Mus musculus: one gene and its partners. The protein of the gene in region 4 purifies or fractionates together with the protein of the main gene of each other region. This does not show direct contact. Links are inferred from orthologs where the notes say so. Each region holds a gene or a part of one and is shown on either strand. Other genes may lie near its edges.

Region 1 (4,272 bases), on a different chromosome or scaffold from region 4:
CCCAGATAGACAGGTGTTGGAATCTAGGCTCTCATCCCAACAAGCAACTGCGCATGCCCCAAGCCTGACATCAGCCCTAATGCGTATGGTCAGAGTCCGCCCCACCATGTGTGCACAGCGCAGAGCACAGACAGCACAGAGGCGAGCAGCAGACACTCAACAGACACGAAGACGGTGAGACCTGTATCCTGGTGCTTTGCCTACGAGAATTATCAATCTCCCAGAAAACCTCGAGGACTCCCTTCTTAACTCGGGAGTTTACAGAGCCCCCAAGCCCTAGGATGCATTTTCAGGTGTGTCTGTCACCACGAGGACTTTAAAAGCAACTCAGGTGAGAGGCCCTAGTAGGGCCTGCCTGACAAGCAACACTGGTGAAAGATTTCTGAATTAGAATCTAAATTACGATAGATCAGACTCAGATATTTTGACATCAAAGAGTGCTGGAAGTTGGCTGTTTTTGCTTTTTCCAAAGCAGGCATTTCCCGACATAGCCCTGACAAACAGCAGCCACCAGAAGCCACTTGGCCCCTGGGAGGCGGAGGCAGGAGGATTAACAATTCAAGGTCATCCTCAGCTGCATAGTGAGTTTGAGGCCAGCCTGGGCTATGTGAGAAATGAAGGCAGAATGGCAAAAAGGATCACTGTAGAGTTAAGGGAATTCTGCTAGTTATACAAGACATGACTTGCTCCAAATTCAAGAAGAAAGTAAGCTGCCCTGGACCCTGACTACACCCTGGCCTCAGTAACACCTTATGGGATTGTTAAGAGGAAATAAACCATACTCTATTCCAAGTTCAGGTACTGAGATCTGGGTCCCCAGCCAAAAAGCTCTCCACAATTTCAGCTGACAGTCAGATCTCTTAAGAGTTCCAGACCAGCAAATGCTACACAGTGAGACCTTGTCTCAGAAAAGCAAAAGCAAGGACAATGTTTATCGTGGAACTGACCAGTGTAACCCACAGCTGAGAGCACAGTCTAACAAGAGAGGCAAAATGAACCTGTTCCTACCTGGCCAAATCACCGTGGCCCCGGACTGTACTCTGCTACCGTGTAATAATTTGTGGGTGACAGACCAGGGCGAGGGGCTCTTTCGAACTCTGAAGCCTCCCCAGGCTCAGCAGCCATTCCCTCTTAATGAACTGGGATGCTGAGCATCAACCTTCAGTGGTCAGAAGCACTGACTACACGGTGCCAACAGCGAGAACACAAAGGCATTCTACAGGGGCCTTACAAAGTAGAGTGAAAGCAACTGTCTTCAGCCAAGCGCCTCTCATCAGAGACAGACAGGCAAACGGACAGACAGACAAGGAGCCCGGGGTGGGGTGGGGGGGAGACACACACACTAACACACACACAGAGAAACAGAGAGACAGACAGACAAGGAGCCTGAGAGAGGCAGAGGCAGAGAGACAGACAGACAGGAGCCTGGAGTGCAAATGCTCTTTAAATCACAGCTTTTCTTCTGCGCTTCAGTTTCCTCTTCAGCTAAAAGTGAATAAATACAGAATCTCCCAAAAGGTTGACACAGCAGATCAAAATAATTAGCAAATGCTAAGAACTGTCCGAACACACTGTGAAGCCCCAATAGCTATCAGCTGTTTGCTTGTTTGTTCTTTTTTTTTTTTCCCCTCCTCTGCAATTCTTTCCCTGTATTAGATACACCTGCACTCCTGGAAACACGTTTAGGTTATAAAAACCCACATGGAAGTTTAACTTAAGTTGGTGGCTCAAATTTAGCTCAAGTTTCAAAATATTGGTTGAAAGGGTTGCATAGCCATGTCTACTGCCTGTCATGCATGAAGCCCTGGGTCCACCACACCAGCACACCAAAAGCCAGGGGTAGTGGCACACACCGGTGATTCCAGCACCTGGAAAGTGGAGGCAGGAGAGTCAGAAATTCAAAATCATCTCTGACTGCATAGGAAGCCGTGGACCAGTCTGGTGTGTACACACACACACACACACACACAAGTCCGTGTCTTTCAAAAGTGTGATAAGACATCACACCGAGCCCCATGAACAAGGATCGGACGTCGTTTTAAAAATGATAAAGAGCTCTAATTTGACCAAACAAAAATCACCAGACCCAGCATCTCACCAGATGAGTCACCAAAGGAATGGCTGGCTGGCTGGCTGGCTGTGAAGTGTGCGGGGCAGAGCGTGGGGACCCGTGTCCTTCCTAATGGCTGGGAAAAGCCCGGAGAGCCACCGCGCTCGCTCGGGCCGACTGCTCTCAACGTCAATTAGACACTCGGTGCACGGAGCGTGGACCGACCGGAGCGGTCCGGGGCGGAGCACAGAGGTGCGGTAGCAGACGACGCCCCGGGATGCGGTAGCAGACGGCCCGGGATGCGGAGCCCGACCCGGTGCCCGAGGAGATGCACGACCCTGAGCAGGTGAGGCGGTTGCCCTGACGGCGAGCGGAGCGGACAGAAGCACCCCTGTACCCAGCGCGGGCCCCGGCCCCGCGCATCCCTCACCTCCTCAGACCCCGGCCCCCAGCGCCCCGCGTCTCCTCACACGCCCCGGCCCACGGCTCCTCGGACCCCGGCCCCGCCGCACTCACCGCCTTCTTCATGGTGGCCGCCATCTTGGACTGAACCACGGGGCGCGGGGGAAAACCACTCGGGCGTGCGTCACCCCCCGAGGTCCCTCTCGAGCCCTGCTGAGCCAGACTCCCCCCTAACGCACAGCACTATCTCAACACTGCTGCTATCTGTGTCTCTGAACTATAAATTCCCAGGGCAAGGACTCAGGAAAAAAAACTATGCCCTGGAAACACTTGGTATCTTCCAATTAAAGGGACAGGCAGCTTCCCTCTCGGCCGGCATAAATACCAAAAGCGGCCAATAGTCGGGCCCGAGATCCCAGCCACGGCCAGCAGGGGGAGCGCTGGGTACCACCCAGCTGTGTGGAATGGGAAGCTTAAGAAATTCTTTTTCCATTTATTCAACAACCTAGAGAGAAGCTAAGGAGGGTAAGGGCGTGGCTTCGGCAAAGTATTTGGTAAATCATTTGGTCAAGTATTTGCACTCAAGCATGGGGACCTGAGTTCGATCTACAGCCCCTACCACATAAAAACCCAGTGCTGGCGAAGCTACAAGCTGAAGGCCACTCTTGAAGTTGATCTTAGCTTGTATGCCACTGATCACTGCAGGGGACACTAGGGGATCAGCCAGGAATAGATGAAGCCAAAGGTAGGTGACACCCAAAAAGATCCAGAGCAGTGGTTCTCAATCTTCCTAGTGCTGAGACCCTTTAATACAGTTAAATGTTGTAGTGCCCCCCCCAACCATAAAAAGTAGTTTTGTTGCTACTTCATTATGTAAATTTGCTACGGTGCTGGGTCATAATGTCAATAAATATCTATTTTCTGATAGTATTAGGCGGCTTCTGTAAAGGGCTCCCGATCTATAGGTTGAGAACCACTGACCTAGAGCGCTATAACAAACTTAAATGCTTAGATAATAGCTTACTGGACGGTTGCTTGGCTATTTATATTTAGAGACAGGGTCTTGCAATGTAATCCTAGCTGTCCTGGAACTAGCTGTGTAGACCAAGCTGGCCTGAAACTCACAGAGATCTTCCTGCCTCTGCTCTCCAAGCGCTAGGATCAGAGGCGTGCTCCATCATGTGCAACTGAAATGAATTCTTTTATGTGTTTAAAATTAAATTGGTTCAGAAATATGTCTTCCACTCGCTCAAATATGTTAGCCTGGGAAGACTGCCCACACAGGGCCCAGTGGGCACCGAGCTTCCTTAGTAACCAGGGCCATTGTTAACTTCGGTAGCCAAGACTTTGCTCTCAGAAAGTCGGAGGTCTGAGGGCAGAAGAGCTTAGAGTATTGGGGTATGGGCCATTGTCTCATTTACCAAGGGACAGGGAGGACCAGGTGTGAGCCGCAGGACAGTAAAAGCACGGCTGGGCGCTCTTGCATCTCTGCCAGTCCCTCCTATGGCTTCAAGCACAAGGGCATGCCAAGGAGGGGAAGAGGGGCAGATCTCGCCTGTCTGCTTATGACGCAGTGGGTCTCAACCTTCCTAATGTGACCCTTTAATACAGTTCCTCACGTTGTGGTGACTCCCAACCATTAAATTATTTCATTGCTACTTTACAACAGTAATTTTGCTATTGTTATACATTGTAACGTAAATGCCAGACATGCAGGATGTCTGATACTTGACCTGGGTGGGAGGGCCATTCGACTTTCCAAAAGGATCACGGCCCACAGGTTGAGAACCGCTGTTCTAATGTATAATGCATGTGCCCAT
Region 2 (4,137 bases), on a different chromosome or scaffold from region 4:
CACACACACACACACACACACACAGAGGAATAATAAATACTACTTTACAGAAAGAGAGATAAGAGTTAGTTTACAAAAGAGGTACCCTAGGCAGAACTTACCCTGCTTCATGGCATGCTTCTCCTGCAGCGCTGGCTGGATTTTCTCCATCTGTTTGGTGAGGAAGTCTATCTTCCTTTTGAAGAAGTCCTTGGCGTCCTCAGCTGTCTGCAAGAGCAGAGGTGAATGAAAGACTAGAGAGACCCTGTCCTACACCACACCTCTCCCCTTAAGCTCCCGTCGCTCACCTCCTCAGAACTTCCCCACCCCCACCCCCGCTCACCTTCTCCACGTAGTAGCCGGTTCCCACATCAATAAGCACATGCTCCACATCGTGTAGCTTCCCGGGGACGTACATCTGAGAGGGCAGGGTTAAGAAAAAACTGACCCAGCATGCGGCATGGGTTTGTCAGCCAGGGTACTAACCCCAAGGTGTCCTTTTCTAAAAAGCTGCAGCTGGGAGAACCAAGAGACCGGAAGCCTTAACTTACGGGTCACTGTAACTGGAGGGACACAACAGAAGCTGGAACACTTTCTGGTCCTGATCCCATCTCTCCTCTTTAAAGGAGCCCCTGTATTTTTCCACTTTCCAGAAGGAACAGATCAGATACTTAGGATTCTTTCCTAAAGCTCCAGAATAGTGTGAGTGAAAAGCCGGCCTCACTTCCCCTGAACCATGAATCCTGATGGATTATTACTAATTTTGATTTAAATATTTAATTTTAGATTTGTGGTTCGAATATGCTTGGCCCACAGAGTGGTACTATTAGGAGCTATATAGCTTTGTTGGAGGAAGTGTGGCACTGTGGGGGTGGGCTTTGAGACCCTCCTCCTAGCTACCTGGAAGATGGTCTCTTCTCCTGGCTGCCAATTGGATCAAGATGTAGAACTCTCAGCTCCTTCTACAGCACCATGTCTCCCTGGGTGCTCCCATTCTTCCAGACACAGTGACAGTGGACTGAGTCCTCTGACTCTAAACCAGCCCCAAATGAAATGTTTGCCTTTACAAGAGTTGCAGCCGGGCGTGGTGGCGCACGCCTTTAATCCCAGCACTCGGGAGGCAGAGGCAGGCGGATTTCTGAGTTCGAGGCCAGCTTGGTCTACAGAGTGAGTTCCAAGACAGCCAGAGCTAAAAGAGAAACCCTGTCTCGAAAAACCAAAAAAAAAAAAAAAAAAAAAAAAAAAAAGAGTTGCCTTGGTCATGATGTCTCTTCACAGCAATGAAACCCTAAGACAAAACTATGTGTATGTGTATGCATCATGTGCATGCCTGGTGCCTGCAGAAGTCGGAAAAGGTTGCTGCATCCCCTTGAATTGTTGTCACCTACACCATGTAGATGTTCGGAACCCAATTGGGTTCTCACTGAGAGCAAGTGCTCTTAACTGCTGAGCCATCTCTCTAGTTACAAATTATTACTACTTTTAAACTTACATGTATTTGGTCTGTGTGTGTGTTTTCACAAGTGTGCATGCCATGGAGCACGAAGGTCGGAGGACAACTTCTGGGAGTTGGTCTTCTCCTTCCACCCCATTAGTATCAGAAAGTTAGCTCAGTGTGTATGTGTGGGTTTTACGCTCTGCGTCGTCACCTTGCCGGCTCTATTGTTACTTAAAACAGTCTTCACCACTTTGCTATTCTTAGGTTTCTCTTTCGACTGTCATTTCCTGGTGGAAATGACAACAGGTCATTTCAACAGGAGGAAACAATCTACCTTTCACTATTAGAGATGAGCGGCAATTAAGGTGAAATTGAAAAAAGAGGCAAGTTCCCAATTTCAATATCCTAACATTTTTTCTACTGGCTTTAGCCAAATGCCAGCTTTGTCTCCATATTGACATCTCTAAACAAAGAGAAACACAACATTTCAATTCTTCACCGAACTCTGATACAAAGTATTACATGGACACTGGTGCAACGTTAGACAAGTGAGCTACGTTAAGTGTTCGACTGTTCTTAAAATCAAAACTCTCCCCGCTTTTGGGAAAGACTGTGGAAGAATGTAAGGTAGCATTTCCCGTGGAAAGGATACAGAACTCGTCAGTGGGACCAGTAATTCTTTTCCTGTGAAAGTAATAAAGACAAACAGCTGGGGAAGGCTAGCGGCTCCCACGCGAAGACGTTAGGGGAAGCTCCCAACAGGGCTCAGTGTTCACAGACAGTGAAAAGAACACAGCAACTGAGGAAATGTCTTGTACATTTTAGTTTTCTGTAGGCAACATGCGGGGGCTCCTGTGGCTACACACACACTAAGTAACAAACAGTTTTCTTTAACGAAAACTGGAACTAGGAAAAAGCGAAGGAGAAGCCGGCATCCCCAGGCGCCCTCACCCGCCTAGCCCATACCCTCGTTGCTCTTGTTCAGCACGTTCAGACAGTCCTTGGCTTCCACGTACTTGGTCTGGACCACCTTGAGCTGAGCAATGGACGTGGACAAAAACTCCACTTCCTACAGAAGCCGGGAAAAAACAAGGGGTCAGCTCAAGAAAGCGGGGCCCAGGCTGAGGGGGCGGGACCCGGGACCGGATAGGGGTTTCCCTGGGAAAGGAAGCCTCCCCGACCGGGCGGGCGGTCGGTCGGAGGATATGAAGCGCGAGGAAGGTGCTGGGACAGGTCCTCACCTGGTCCAGCTGGTTCTTGAGCATTTCCAGTTGTGGCAGATTCAGCTCCGTGATGTTAATCGACTGCGCCATGTTGGGAAGGAGGACTGCCGAAGAGGAAGCCGCCTGGGCGAGTGACGCTCTAGCCGCCCTCCGCGTTACCTCCGTGGTGCCGCCAGGGGATACGCTCTGCGCCCGTCGTCTCTATGATCCTGTGTTTCGGACCCGCTTTTCGGATCTCAAGCTTAATTAGAGAACGCAAGTTTTTCTTTTCTCAGAGTACACTAAAGCTAGCACGGTAATTTTGGCTTCCTGTCCCCATAACTCTAGGTTCTGCTGGCCTAGAAGTTTTGGCTCCAGAGAGGGGAGTGCTCCTACCAGGAGCTACAACAAACATTCCATTGAACTGGAAGCTCAGACTTCCCCTTGGTCATTTTGGGCTTCTAATGCCCTTAAACCAACAGGCTAAAAATGGAATAACAGTGTTAGGAGGGGTGATAGATCCAGATTACCATGGGGAAATTGGATTACCTCTTCACAATGGTGGTAAGCAAGATTATGTCTGGAGTGTAGGAGATCCCTTAGGGCGTCTCTTAGTACTACCATGTCCTGTGATTAAAGTCAATGGGAAACTACAACAGCCTAATCCAAGCAGGATGACAAAGGACACAGACCCATCAGGAATGAAGGTATGGGTCAATCCTCCAGGAAAAGAGCCAAGACCTGCTGAGGTGCTGGCTGAAGGTGAAGGAAATACAGAATGGGTAGTAGAGGAAGGTAGTTATAAAATTAGTTAGCAAACATGGCTTGGGCCTTCAAGGGACTCGAAACTCTCGGACTCACGACACAACCACAAGATTGTAAAGCGGTATAAGCTACTGCGCGTTGTTGGGACAAGCCCGCGACAGGACAGCAGGGAACCTGTGTTCTGACAGTACCACTAACGCGCTTTAAAGGATAAAGTGCAAGTGCCAAAAAGGAACAACTGCCAACCAACTACATTTATTTTTATGTCTCAGTATATATGCAGGCAAACCAAACCTAGGTCCTTTGAAAGAGCAACCTAGTGCTCATAACTGCTGAGTGTCTGTCTAGCCCCACCATTGTGTGTTGGATAGGAAGGGTCTGTGTGCTTCCCAGCAACTTTTTTTTTTTTTTTTAACAATATCAGCCAGATATTGGTGGTGCACACACACTTTTATTTATTTATTTATTTATTTATTTATTACATGGAAGTACACTGTAGCTGTCTTCAGACGCACCAGAAGAGGGCATCAGATCTCATTATGGGTGGTTGCTGGGATTTGAACTTTGGACCTTCGGAAGAGCAGTCAGTGCTCTTACCCACTGAGCCATCTCACCAGCACCCCCCCCCCTCCCAGAAACTTTTAAAGGTGTAGTTGTTGCAACAAACCATATGAGTAGCAAACCCCATTGAATCTGCTGCTGCCATTGCCAAAGTGTAGCAGCCTTGGTGGGAAGGGCAATGGTTTCTAAAAT
Region 3 (4,179 bases), on a different chromosome or scaffold from region 4:
AAAGAATCTACATCTTCCTTTAATATGAAAAATCATACGAAGTTTTAAATTCATATTACAAACCTGATTTTTACTACTTTGTTTATAAAATGTAAAAGAACAAGTTTTGTTTTCCTCAAAGGTTTGTTTCATTTAATTTTTTTTGAAGAAAAAATTTCATAAAATAATCTGATCAACTTCCCCTCTCCCAACTCCTCCAAGATCCTCCCACCTCTCCAACTCCCCAATTTCTCTTTCTTTAGAAAATAGGCAAACAAACAAAAAGCCATAATTTTAAAAACAAAAAAAATCCATAAAAACACAAAATCTGAAATGAAAGCATCCAGGCAAAAGGCCAGGAGGGAGAAAAATACTCAAACAATACTACACAAAAAGTCTACAACAATACGATTGAATTAATTTTGTGGTGGCCGTCTATTTACTGCCCTGCATGGAATCCACCCGTTAGTATGGCTAATATACCTAGTGAGACTCCACTGGAGAGAACTAATTTTTCTTTTCTGAAAGCTTGTTTTTAATTAAAAACCTAACTATAAAGAGTTAAAGATGGCTGCCCTGGAGCTCAGTGGTATACCACTTGCCTACAAGACAGGTGGCCCTAGGTTATCCCCAGCACTGGCAGAAGAAAAGTTAAAGAGAAGTTAGACATGATGCTACAGGTCTGTTATCCCAGAACTTAGGAAGTAGAAGCGAAAGGATCCAAAGTTGTCAGCCTGGACAACATACTTTGTCTCAAAAAAAGAAAAAAAAAGTTCAAGAAAGACCATTTCGGACAGTTTACATACATTATGTAGGTAATTTATTCTTTATTTTTCTGTTTTTAATGTAAGACACATGAACTTGCCTGCTTTATACATTTCTCATGTGGCTCTAGTAATAAATATGAAAATTGCTAGCAATGAAGCACACTGCCTACTCATGTGCCCTAGTCACTAAAGAATTGAGCAAATTGTGTGCCAAAGTTATCATTTTTCTTACTGATTTAATTCAATTGAATACATATTTTATTTTTCAAAATAAGTCCATAAATATTGTCACCCATAGAAACTCAAGACTAAGCAGCAAGATGGAAGTTGGGTAGGATTCAAATACTCTCAGACATAGAATTTTATGTTGTTAAAATATCATGCCACTTCCATTAGTTTTGGAACATCAAGATAATTATATAAAGTTTGGACTGCTTATTACATCGTGTTGGTATAAAATTTAACCATAAAATTTTACAGCCAGTTGTCACAGTGTCTGTCTTTAACCTACAAACTTGGAAAGCAGAAGCAGGACAGGCACTATGAATTTGAGGCCATCCTAATCCAAACAGTGAGTTCTAAGCCAACCTGGGCTGTCTCAAAAAAATAAATAAATAAAATAAATAAATAAAAGTTTATTTTACGGTAAATCCCTCAGATAAAGTTTGTATTCATTAATTCCATTTCTGAAGTTACTGCTATCGGGTTATATTTAAGACAGAATGGAAATTTATATATTTACATCCTTATATATCAGGCATTATAATAGGATCAGGAGAAATAACACAAAATTTCCTCACCTCTAAGTAGCAGAGCATGACCAAAGAGGTTCTAAAGCTCTCCTGACTGCTCAAATGCTACTTCTGGATACCTCTATTTCTGGGTTTCATCAACTACATCTACAAAATTTGAACAACAGTAACTCCCTCATAAAGTTTTGCAAATTTTCTAAGAAAATTTCTGAACCTCAGAAAATATTACTTCATGTAAAGATCACTTGAAAAATATTTTTAAAAGCACAGAACATTGAGAATACACATAAAAATTTATTCCACCAGCACATTAAAATATACAATATAAAATGTGATTTAAGTAAAAGAAAAAAAGGGTCTTTTGAAGAATGTTAGCAATAAGACAGAATATATATAATTTTTGGTACATACCAAAAAAGAATCAAGGAAATTTTGACTAAGATTTTATATGCTTCAGTACAAATATTTAACTTGGGTCGGTCCTGTTACATGAAACCTTCCAATTGCATTTCCCACAATCTTCACAACTGCATAAAATTTGTTGTCTACAAACTGCTTAAATAGTATTACTAAAAGCAAATATAAAATGGTTTCAAAAACCTAATAACAGCCGGTTGCCCATTACATAAGCCTCAATTCTTAAAAGCAAGAACACATGGACTTAACGTTTGTGCTAACGTTTACTTTTCTCAGCAGTCTGCTTCCATTCCCAAGGAAACGGACCACGGCCGTGCTCAAGCTGACTGGGTGCCACTCAGTACCCACACCCTACAAACAGCTGCTCTGCCTGCTCTCTGTGCTAAATGTCCACCCATCTACATCTCCGGCATCACTGCGGTCTTGAGCTCAATAACCGTTGCTGCTGTTTTTTGTTTTTCTTTAGGCGACAACAGGCAGCAACTGGTCAGTTTCAAGGGACGCCACGCCCCAATCCGCCTCGCATCCGTCTCCAGCTACCCAGTTCTCCTCCCTGCTCCCTCTTCTGGGCCGGGGTTGGACTACCTTTCTTCAAAGCTATCGCCCGCCAGGCCTAAAAAGCCAAGATGCAGGAAGAGGCAAAAGGCCAGACATTCCCTTCCGGGACCCTTTAGCTCTGTTCCTCCCAACGACCCAGACCTGGGAAGTGACTGGAAAGCAATCTCCAATATCAGATTAAGACGCTGAGAAAGAGTTTCTTACCACAAACACTGCTTCAGGAATCCCTAAGTGGAGCCGCCGCCCGTTTCCAGCAGCAGTTTCTAGGCCGCATCCGTCCTTAGCCGCCGCCATCTTCAGAAAGCACCAGAGCAAATAACTACCTTCTGAGGCATCGATCGTTGGCGTCAGTGATTGGATCGTTTGCACTTCAGACCCGCCTCTCTCCCTGCGAATCTGCGTATTCATTGGTGCTTACGTCGTGGGTGGTGATTGGCTACACGCATGTGACTGACAAGCTTAGAAAGGATGTGTTGGAAAAGCCAGAAGGCTAATGCTTATTCTAATGCTTAATCTCAGAGATCTAAGGAATGGGCAAGGATAAAGCCCTGGGAATTCAGACCATGCCAAACCGCAGCCCCACCTGCACCTGAAGATATCAAGAGACTACACTCCAGAGTGGCTTCTGAGGCAATCCCAATTCCCTTTTGCAGACCAGTGAACTTCATTCTGAGTGTGTATGCCCTGGACTCATAAGAAATACACCAATCTTTCTCACAAGCCACCTTCAGTGAGATACTTGTCGGCTTCCAGGTCAAAACTTTCGATATGTTTATAGTTTATGTGAAAAAAATGCCAAGAGCTGTGCTTAAATTCTTAGATCCAAAGACTTCCCAGAGTTTTGTCCTCCACAACAACTCTTTAAAAAGCAAATCTATCAATAAACCAGATATGCATAATCACTGCAGGAGACCCTGTTTGCAAATAAAAGCAAAAGTAGCTTATAAAACAAAGCAAGCCAGTATCAATTTGTCTTAGTCAGGGTTTCTATTCCTGCACAAACATCATGACCAAGAAGCAGTTGGGGAAAAAATGGTTTATTCAGCTTACGATTCCATACTGCTGTTCATCACCAAAGGAACTCAGGACTGGAACTCAAGCAGGGCAGGAAGCAGGAGCTGATGCAGAGGCCATGGAGGGATGTTCTTTACTGGCTTGCCTTACCTGGCTTGCTCAGCCTGCTCTCTTATAGAACCCAAGACTACCAGCCCAGAGATGGTCCCACCCACAAGGGGCCTTTCCCTCTTGATCACTAATTGGGAAAATGCCTTACAGTTGGATCTCATGGAGGCATTTCCTCAACTGAAGCTCCTTTCTCTGTGGTAACTCCAGCTGTGTCAAGTTGACACATAAAACCAGCCAGAACAACATGGCAGGGAAACTATAGCCATGAAATCTCAACAATATGGTTGCCTAGCCAAGTCCTACATAATGACCCCAGCAGCATACACGTTAATGGGAATGAGGGAAATTTCACACAGCCCTACACTAGATGATGAACTACAATCAGTCAATGGCTGCTGAGGGAGGGAGAATCAATTTTCTCCAGAGACAAGCCCCCCTGATAGGTTGCCAAATCTTAAATGGTCAGCCCCAAGTACATGTACATATGAACAACATTAAATGTACTCAGTTATAAGTTTATATAAGATACAGTAATAATCATACAAGAAGGGACCATGAATCCAAGAGGGAGTGGGCAGGAG
Region 4 (3,335 bases):
CAGCCTGGGCTCACCTTGGCAGCACTGGCGATGTCCACAGCCTCCACGATGTCTGTCTGCAGGATTTTTGCCGTGTCTTCCCCATCTTCTCCTACCAGAAACCTAAAAGGCAGTTAGGATGACGACGGTGACGGTCCCCACCATGCAGCGGGCATACAAACATAAAAACGCAGAGAGACAGGACAGCGGGGAAAGCCCAGGTCGGGGTCCACTCACCCAGGTTCCTCTGCAAGCAGCAGCTCAGCGCGGGCGGCTCTGACGCTTGCCTCTTCCTCTTGCGCTTCAGCCTTCTCGAGTTTGCTTTGAGTTTTAGGCTTCGAATGTGGGAGCTACGGCATTGTTGACAGGGTTGCAAGAACCGAAGAGCATATGTGGGGGTCCCAGGAAAACCACTGGGGAAGCCGCCACCACCTCATCCAAACCCTCGGCCTCCAATCCCTCTGACAGCCCGCCGGTCCTCACCGTTTTGGACTTGTCAATTCGACAAAACTTCCGGGCCTCCTCCAGGGGGGCGGGGACGGGTCCTGGGAACGGGTCCTGAGCCTGGCGAGGACAAGGAGGCAGGAGGCAGATTCTGATGGATCCGGTTCCTCTCGATCTCCGGGGACGACCTGCACCGCCACCCTGTCAACCCCAGGCTCACCCCCGACAGCGTCCTCTGAGGCTTCTTCCAGTCTGGAGCGGTCTTTGAGATCGGGGGCTTCTTGGAGAACCGGGACTTCTGGGCGATGTGCGCGCTCTTGGACCTCGGGGGTCGCGACTCCCCAGTCCTCGCCTTCTTCCGAGGCGGCCCCGGGGAGGTGGCGACGGCGGCCGGGGTGGTCTCCTCCTCCCAGTAGCGCCGCGGTTTCTAAGGGGCAGAGGAAAAGCCTTCGCACACGCTGCCCGAGCCTGGGCCCGGGACGCGGACACCTCCCACCAAAGCTACCTTCCTCTTGGCCTGAGGCTTGTCTCTCTTGGGTGGGACACCCCTACCCGGCTTGGGGGCTGTCTCCATCTCCAAGACCGAACAACGATCCACGTGCGAAACTCCCTTGAGTAGTAGCTCGGCGGTCTAGGAAAACTTCCGGAAGTCCCCCCCTTCATCCAATCAGCGCCGTACCGGCGTCTGAAGCCTCCGGCGCCATGTTAAGTGAGGGCATGCCTCTGTGAGCCCGGGAGGATCGCCCGAGGAGCAGCTTATAACCAAATAAAGATTTAAAAAGCATGTATGAGCCCCGAATCTTGTTAACTATGAGCTTAGATTTTTCCATATTAACTTTTCTGTCTTGCCCAAAACCTCTCGAGCCGAGTCTTTTAGGTCGAACGAGCCTCACACAAGTCAGAACTACATGTTCCAGCATGTATCGGAATGTAACTTCCGGCGCCGTCTTTTTCTCTCCCGTCATGCCTTGTTTACTTCCGGGTTTATTGATTACAGCGGGTAGAGCGTGAAGAGGTTAGCGTTTGGCTTGGAGGGTTCGGGGATCTCTTCTTTCGCTCTCCTTTGCCTAGGGAGTGGCTATTCTGGACGAAAAGAGGCTGCGGCGCCTCGGAGAGTTGCGGGTAGAAAGTGCTGTCCTTCTGCAGGGTCAGGGAGGGGGGATTCAGGTGCCTCCCAGAGCTTGAGACCCAGCGACCCCCGCCCAGGAGGCTTTCTCCTTCACCATGGCTGAACTGATCCAAAAGAAGCTGCAGGGAGAGGTAGAGAAATATCAACAGCTGCAGAAGGGTAAGAGAGGGAGTTGGTGTGGTCTCGCTCCTGTCCGCTCTCATCTATGATGAAGCGTCGCGCCCCATTGGGGGCTGCGGGGGTGCATCTTGTTACCCCTCGCCTCGGTATCGTCGCTTTCTTCCTCACACCCAGTCTCCCCAGAATTGCGCGGTTCTGGGCCCATTTGATGTTTTTAATCGTGCATTTCCTCTCTCCACCCCAGACTTGAGTAAATCTATGTCAGGGAGGCAGAAGCTCGAAGCACAGCTAACGGAAAACAATATCGTGAAGGAGGTGAGGATGGGACGCGGGGGTGGGGGGCGAGGAGGGACTCTCCTGGGCACGATCATCTCATTCACTGCCTCATCCCCTTCTCAGGAGCTGGCCCTGCTGGATGGATCCAACGTGGTCTTTAAGCTTCTGGGACCCGTGCTTGTCAAACAGGAGCTGGGGGAGGCTCGGGCCACAGTAGGGAAGAGGCTAGACTACATCACAGCAGAAATGTAAGTCCTGCGGATGGCGTTTTCAGTGCACAAGTGTTAAACCCGTGCTGGATAGTTCTCCACTTACCCATTTCTGTAAAGTCCTGGCTGCCCTGGAACTCGCTCTGTAGACGGGGCTGACCTGACACAGATGCGCCTGCTGCCGCCTCCTAAAGGATGGGATTAAAGGCATGTGGCACCACTCCTGGCCTTTCTTGCTGTGTGACATCTGGTGAGGGCACTTGTCAAAGGACAACCTGCGGGAATGTTTGCCTCCCTACTGTGGGGTTCTGTAGCTTGAATTCAGGTGCCAGCCTTGGAGGACAGCAGCCCTCTCTTCCCCTTAGTGCCATCCCCGCTTTCTGTCCCACAAACCTCCAGTCTTCCACCATATCATTGAGCCCTGGCTGATATCTCCTCTCCGTTTGCCTCCCTTTGCCCTCCTCAGCAAGCGCTACGAATCACAGCTTCGGGACCTCGAGCGGCAGTCAGAGCAACAGAGGGAAACCCTTGCTCAACTGCAGCAGGAGTTTCAGCGGGCCCAAGCTGCAAAGGCTCCTGGGAAAGCCTGACCCCGTGGGAGGGGGTCAGGAGGGAGGGATGAGGCTAACCCTGAGCCAATAAAATGTAAACAGAACCAAGCCTACTTTACAGCCAGTCTTTCTTCACTGTACTTCCATTCCCGTACACTTTTACACCTCTTGAGATTCACGGTCTTGTGACTGAAATCTCTCAGTGGCCGGATTCTGTTTTGCTTTCCTGTGGCTGAGAACTGTGCCCAGGGTGTTTCCTTGGGTCCCTTCAGTTTCAAAACTTTAGTCTGAAACGTCTCAAGCTATTTCTTGCCTGTACATACAACCCTTTGACTTCCCTACGTTGGTTGGCGTAACCGGGAGACACGGGAGAAGACACTGTCTACAGTGCAGCATGTTGTTCGTTGCCATAGAACTCAGTTCTCTGGCCTGAGAGCCCAGGAAATGACAGTCACTCACGGTGAGCACTTGTCTCCCCAAGCAGCCCTAGCCCTAGACTGTTACCTGATTTCCCCGTCTATCTTCTCAGGGTTGGTTTGAATGTAACTTTTTTTGGTTTTGGAGACAGGGTTTCCCTGTGTAGTCCTGGAACTCACTCTGTAGTGAGGCTGGCCTCGAACTCAGAAA
Region 5 (4,203 bases), on a different chromosome or scaffold from region 4:
GAGATTCAGGAGTTGTTTGGGACTCAGATTTGTAAGATATTCGAGACCAGGCTGAGCTACAAGACACCTAGTCTCACAAAAGATATTTTTTTTTTTAGGACCAGTGAAATTGACTCAGCAGAGAACGGCACTGTCCACCAGGCCTGATAACCTAAGTTTGATCCCTGGGAACTACATAGTAAGAGAACACTTGAGCACACTTGTATATGCACACACAAACATTTTAAAATTATTTTTTAATCTATCTATAGATAAATAGATGGGTGGACAGACAAACAGAGGTCCATGAGGTGGCTCAGCAGGTAAAGGTACCATGCCTAACAACCAGAGTTCCAGCCCTAGAACCTGAACTCACATGATAAAAGGAGAAAACATTTTATATAAAGCTTTATATATAAAGCTAAGATTTACATATCAGGCATAGAAATGCACACTTTTAATCCCAGCACTCAGAAGGATCTCTTGTGATTTCAAGGCTAGCCTGGTCTACCTACATAGTGAGTACCAGGCAAGTCCAGGACATATGGTGAGACCCTGTCTCAAAAAAGAAAAAGAGAGAAAGAGAAAATGTAAAGGCTGAGATTTATAGCATGAGAGAATGCTGTATAAGGCTAAGTTTACATGTTTCAAGACAAGAATGGCAAAAAGCAAGATCCACATACTTAGCATCCCCAGAACAATAACAAGTGGCGTCTTTTATTAGGAACAGCTATTTCAGCTGTTGTATTGCTTAGGCAAAGGTTAACCAGAGGCAGCTACTTAAGATGTTACTTATAGGAGCTAGGGAAACAGTTCAGTCAGCTGACCCAGGGTTCACTCCCCAGGACCCACAAAGAAAGCTGAGCTTGGGAGCTGATGGGATGGCTCAGGGGTTAAGAGCACTGGCTACTCTTGCAGAGGACCAGGTTTGGTTCCCAGTACCCACATAGCAGCCCACAACCACCTGTTAACTACAGTTTCAGGGGAGGCAAAGCCCTCTTCTAGCCTGAGAGGGCTGCACACATATGGTATACAGACATTCGTGCAGGCAAGATACATACATAAAAATACAAGTTTCTTCTGTTGTTTAATGCTAGGCATGGAGGCAAGGGGGAAAAAAGGTCCCTAAAGCTCACTAGACAGACAATCTAGCCAAAGTGGCAATCCCTAGGTCCCAGTGAGAGGTCCTGGGAATGCTGGAAGCCCTGGGTGCAAATACTAGCACTGGGGAAAATGGGTGGGGGTGCATGCCAACTACATAACCAAGTTCCAGGCCAGCCCAGGCTACATGAGACTCGGTCTCTTAGAAAAAACAAGACCAGAATCTGGGCCAGCAGACAGCTCAGCTTGCCTAGAAGGCCAGACAAGAGTTCAGTTCCCAGGACCCACTTCATAAGAGAGAGAAAAGCAACTCCCATAAGTTGTTCTCTGACCTCCACGAAGCACCTTGCAAGCATGTCTACACACACACACACACCTTTCAAAAATGTTTCTCACCTAAAGAACCTACTGATTGAAAAAAAAGGCCACAATAATACCAAATCCTAGACTCGGTCTTAAAGATGTGTTTATTATTGTGTGTGTGCTTTGGGACCAGTGAACTTCGTTGTGCCTCTAAACCATTAGAGAACAACTTTGAGCAGTTCTCTCCTTCCGGCATGGATTCTAGGGATAGCACTTAACCAGCCAGGCTGCCTGGCAAGTGTCTCACCCACTGACCCATTTTTCTGCCTGAGGCTCAATCTTTTAAGACTTTTCTTGCCAGGGACCCTAGCACGCATCTGTTACCCTAATATTCAGAAGGCAACAGCACTAAAGTGCATTAGGGGTTCAGGGCCTAACCAAACCAAACTAAGCCAAACCAAACAAGCCACAAACCAAAAGACACTAGAAGTTTCCCTCTTTAGAAAAGTAAGTTTTAGCAGAATGAATTCTAGGGCCCTCTCTAATTATAACTAACTCTCCACAAGGAAAGCACAGTCAGGGTTCTCAGACTGTTAAGTAGCAAAAAATGTTTCCAAATAACAACCCATTTATAAACTGGCTTTTGACTCAAGATTGTAATTCCCAGAACTCAAGAGGCTGAGGCAGAAAGATTGCCTGGAGTTCAAGGCCAGCCTGGCTACATAGTAAGTCTCTAGAACACACTGAGTGAGACACTGTCACAAAAAAAAAAAAAAAAAAAAAAAAAAAAAAAAAAAACCATTTCTAAGCAATGAATTGAACAAAATAACAATAACCATACTAATCCAATTCCTCTGAAAGGTCTTTTGGAAAGCTTACGTGGGGAGCAGGGGTGGTGTGTGAGTTCTTTACAAAGGTGATGGGGAAGGTATGGTATAGAATAAATGACCTAAAAGCAAAGGTTGAACCTGGAGTTTTTCAAATCAAATGAGGAATCCAAACTGCAGGTGCGCCTCCTGCAAGCACCGTGACGGGCATCACTGTGAGACGCTGTCTTCAGTTCAGGCTAGGAAATTGGGGTCCCGGCGGCTCCAAAACACAGAGAGATGTCTCTGAAGTTCCAACCTAAGGACACACTGCAGCCCAGCCCGCGCGTGACCCAGCAACCCAACCCACCCGCCTGAAGCAGCTCCTGCCACCAAGAGGCTCCACCTGAAGCAGAACAGGTCCCGTCTCAGGGCTCCGGGAGGCCAGACCCCGCCCCCTACAGTCTCCTTCCTCCAGCGAGACGCGAGCCTCACCCCCTCCCGCCCCCGTTCTCCTCCTCACTCGCTTCATCATTCAAACAGAAGGGTCTGTCTGCTGAAAAGCCCCCTTTACCTTCTTCAACTCCAGATCCACGGAGGCGGCCATATTGGAGCACTCTCTGCGCCTGCGCTAGAGGCAAGCCGGAAAGGGGTGGGGGAAGGGCGTTTTCAGGTTTTATTAGTAGGCTTCTTTCTGCGCCTGCGCAAAAGTGAACCTCCACTAGCCCGGATTTCTCACTCTAATCTATCTACCCTACTCTACCACTCTGCTACGAGACAAGTGACCCTGAACATTGAAATTCTGATTATACTTGATAAACAACGTGTAACTGCTGAGATGTGGCTCGGTCTTATCTTCCACATACAATTAGACAAACATCTGCATTTGGGCTGCAGAATTGAAACAGGTTTGAGGGTCAGCTTATCAACCATTCATTCAGTCCCTGTCTGTTAGGGATGTATAAAGCCCCCAGCTTCAGGCATGCCTGTAAGACCATTAGAAGTACGGTTCAACCAAAAAGAACTTAATTTTGCTGAAGCCTCCTCTTATATCATCTAGACACAGGGCTTCTCAAGACAAGTCGCATATGTTTGTTGAAATCAGATTCCTGGCTGGGGTGTAGTTCAGTTGGCTGAGTGCTTGCCTAGCATCCTTAAAACTCTGAATTGAAACCACAGCACTGCACTAAACAGGTATGACGTTGCATACCTGTGATCCAAGCACTAGGTAGGTTGAAGCAGGAGGATCAGAAGTTCAGGGTCAGGTCAGCCCAGGGAATAAAGGTGCTTGCCACCACAAGGAAATAAAGTTCAATCCTGAGAACCCACATGGTGCAGAGAAATGATTCCCACAAATTATCCTCTGACTCCCTTCTATGTGTGTATCCCCACACTTGCTTATGAACACACAGTCACTAAATACATTCAAATTTTAAATGAAAATTAGGACCTGGAGAGGTGGGTCAGCAGTTAAAGAGTATATACTCATCTAGAGAACCATAGCTCGACTCTCAGCACGCATGTTAGATGGCTCACAACGACCTGTGTCTCCAGTTCCAGAAGAATGCAGACCTCTAACCACCCACACACACACACACACACACACACGTAGACAAAATTAAAGAGAATAAGAATAAATCTGTAAATTTAAAAAGTTCAAGTTATCCTCAATGACATAGAGAGTTAGGGCTCAGCTCAGACGACGTAAGTCTTGTCTCAAAGAACAAAAACTCAAAAACAATAGACGAGGGTCAAGCACTGTGCCCCTTTCCCATGATCCCAGCACTGGAGAAACTGAGACAGAAAGATCACCATGAATGTAAGGGCAGTCCGGTAGTGATACCAGGCCAGTGTATAAACAGGAATACCACCCCAAGAGACAGGGGCAGGATACAGACTGAGATCTTATACGGAGATCTGTTTTGGCTTTGGCTCTGTCATTCTGGCACACAAACATACTTCTTTCTTTCATCTCAGGGCATATGTAGTTCTGGAGACCGTGCAGCCAGTGTTT

What was found.
Region 1: the proteins of Pfdn6 (region 4) and Pfdn4 purify together in Homo sapiens (affinity purification with mass spectrometry; 6 studies listed by BioGRID and IntAct, counting the BioPlex papers as one, with this or other methods). This does not show direct contact. The link is inferred for Mus musculus from reciprocal best matches to the Homo sapiens genes PFDN6 and PFDN4.
Region 2: the proteins of Pfdn6 (region 4) and Pfdn5 purify together in Homo sapiens (affinity purification with mass spectrometry; 5 studies listed by BioGRID and IntAct, with this or other methods). This does not show direct contact. The link is inferred for Mus musculus from reciprocal best matches to the Homo sapiens genes PFDN6 and PFDN5.
Region 3: the proteins of Pfdn6 (region 4) and Vbp1 purify together in Homo sapiens (affinity purification with mass spectrometry; 6 studies listed by BioGRID and IntAct, counting the BioPlex papers as one, with this or other methods). This does not show direct contact. The link is inferred for Mus musculus from reciprocal best matches to the Homo sapiens genes PFDN6 and VBP1.
Region 5: the proteins of Pfdn6 (region 4) and Pfdn1 purify together in Homo sapiens (affinity purification with mass spectrometry; 6 studies listed by BioGRID and IntAct, with this or other methods). This does not show direct contact. The link is inferred for Mus musculus from reciprocal best matches to the Homo sapiens genes PFDN6 and PFDN1.

Annotation. Positions count from the first base shown.
Region 1 is NC_000068.7:170,509,764-170,514,035, reverse strand, and holds the start of Pfdn4 (prefoldin subunit 4), read right to left. Parts: upstream 2,807-4,272; 5' UTR 2,591-2,806; coding exon 2,567-2,590; exon of another isoform or gene 2,109-2,566; intron 1-2,108. UniProt on the Homo sapiens protein: Binds specifically to cytosolic chaperonin (c-CPN) and transfers target proteins to it. Binds to nascent polypeptide chain and promotes folding in an environment in which there are many competing pathways for nonnative proteins.
Region 2 is NC_000081.6:102,324,782-102,328,918, reverse strand, and holds the start of Pfdn5 (prefoldin subunit 5), read right to left. Parts: upstream 2,804-4,137; 5' UTR 2,731-2,803; coding exon 2,659-2,730; intron 2,487-2,658; coding exon 2,384-2,486; intron 2,102-2,383; coding exon 2,070-2,101; intron 398-2,069; coding exon 323-397; intron 272-322; exon of another isoform or gene 210-271; intron 208-209; coding exon 102-207; intron 1-101. UniProt on the Homo sapiens protein: Binds specifically to cytosolic chaperonin (c-CPN) and transfers target proteins to it. Binds to nascent polypeptide chain and promotes folding in an environment in which there are many competing pathways for nonnative proteins.
Region 3 is NC_000086.7:75,512,927-75,517,105, reverse strand, and holds the start of Vbp1 (prefoldin subunit 3), read right to left. Parts: upstream 2,810-4,179; 5' UTR 2,768-2,809; coding exon 2,678-2,767; intron 18-2,677; coding exon 1-17. UniProt on the Homo sapiens protein: Binds specifically to cytosolic chaperonin (c-CPN) and transfers target proteins to it. Binds to nascent polypeptide chain and promotes folding in an environment in which there are many competing pathways for nonnative proteins.
Region 4 is NC_000083.6:33,938,400-33,941,734, reverse strand, and holds Pfdn6 (prefoldin subunit 6), read left to right. Parts: upstream 1-1,391; 5' UTR 1,392-1,647; coding exon 1,648-1,711; intron 1,712-1,916; coding exon 1,917-1,987; intron 1,988-2,071; coding exon 2,072-2,196; intron 2,197-2,623; coding exon 2,624-2,747; 3' UTR 2,748-2,826; downstream 2,827-3,335. Other genes in the region: Wdr46 (WD repeat-containing protein 46), read right to left, coding at 15-102, 217-329, 463-543, 644-850, 976-1,086. UniProt on the Homo sapiens protein: Binds specifically to cytosolic chaperonin (c-CPN) and transfers target proteins to it. Binds to nascent polypeptide chain and promotes folding in an environment in which there are many competing pathways for nonnative proteins.
Region 5 is NC_000084.6:36,451,690-36,455,892, forward strand, and holds the start of Pfdn1 (prefoldin subunit 1), read right to left. Parts: upstream 2,807-4,203; 5' UTR 2,797-2,806; coding exon 2,764-2,796; intron 1-2,763. UniProt on the Homo sapiens protein: Binds specifically to cytosolic chaperonin (c-CPN) and transfers target proteins to it. Binds to nascent polypeptide chain and promotes folding in an environment in which there are many competing pathways for nonnative proteins.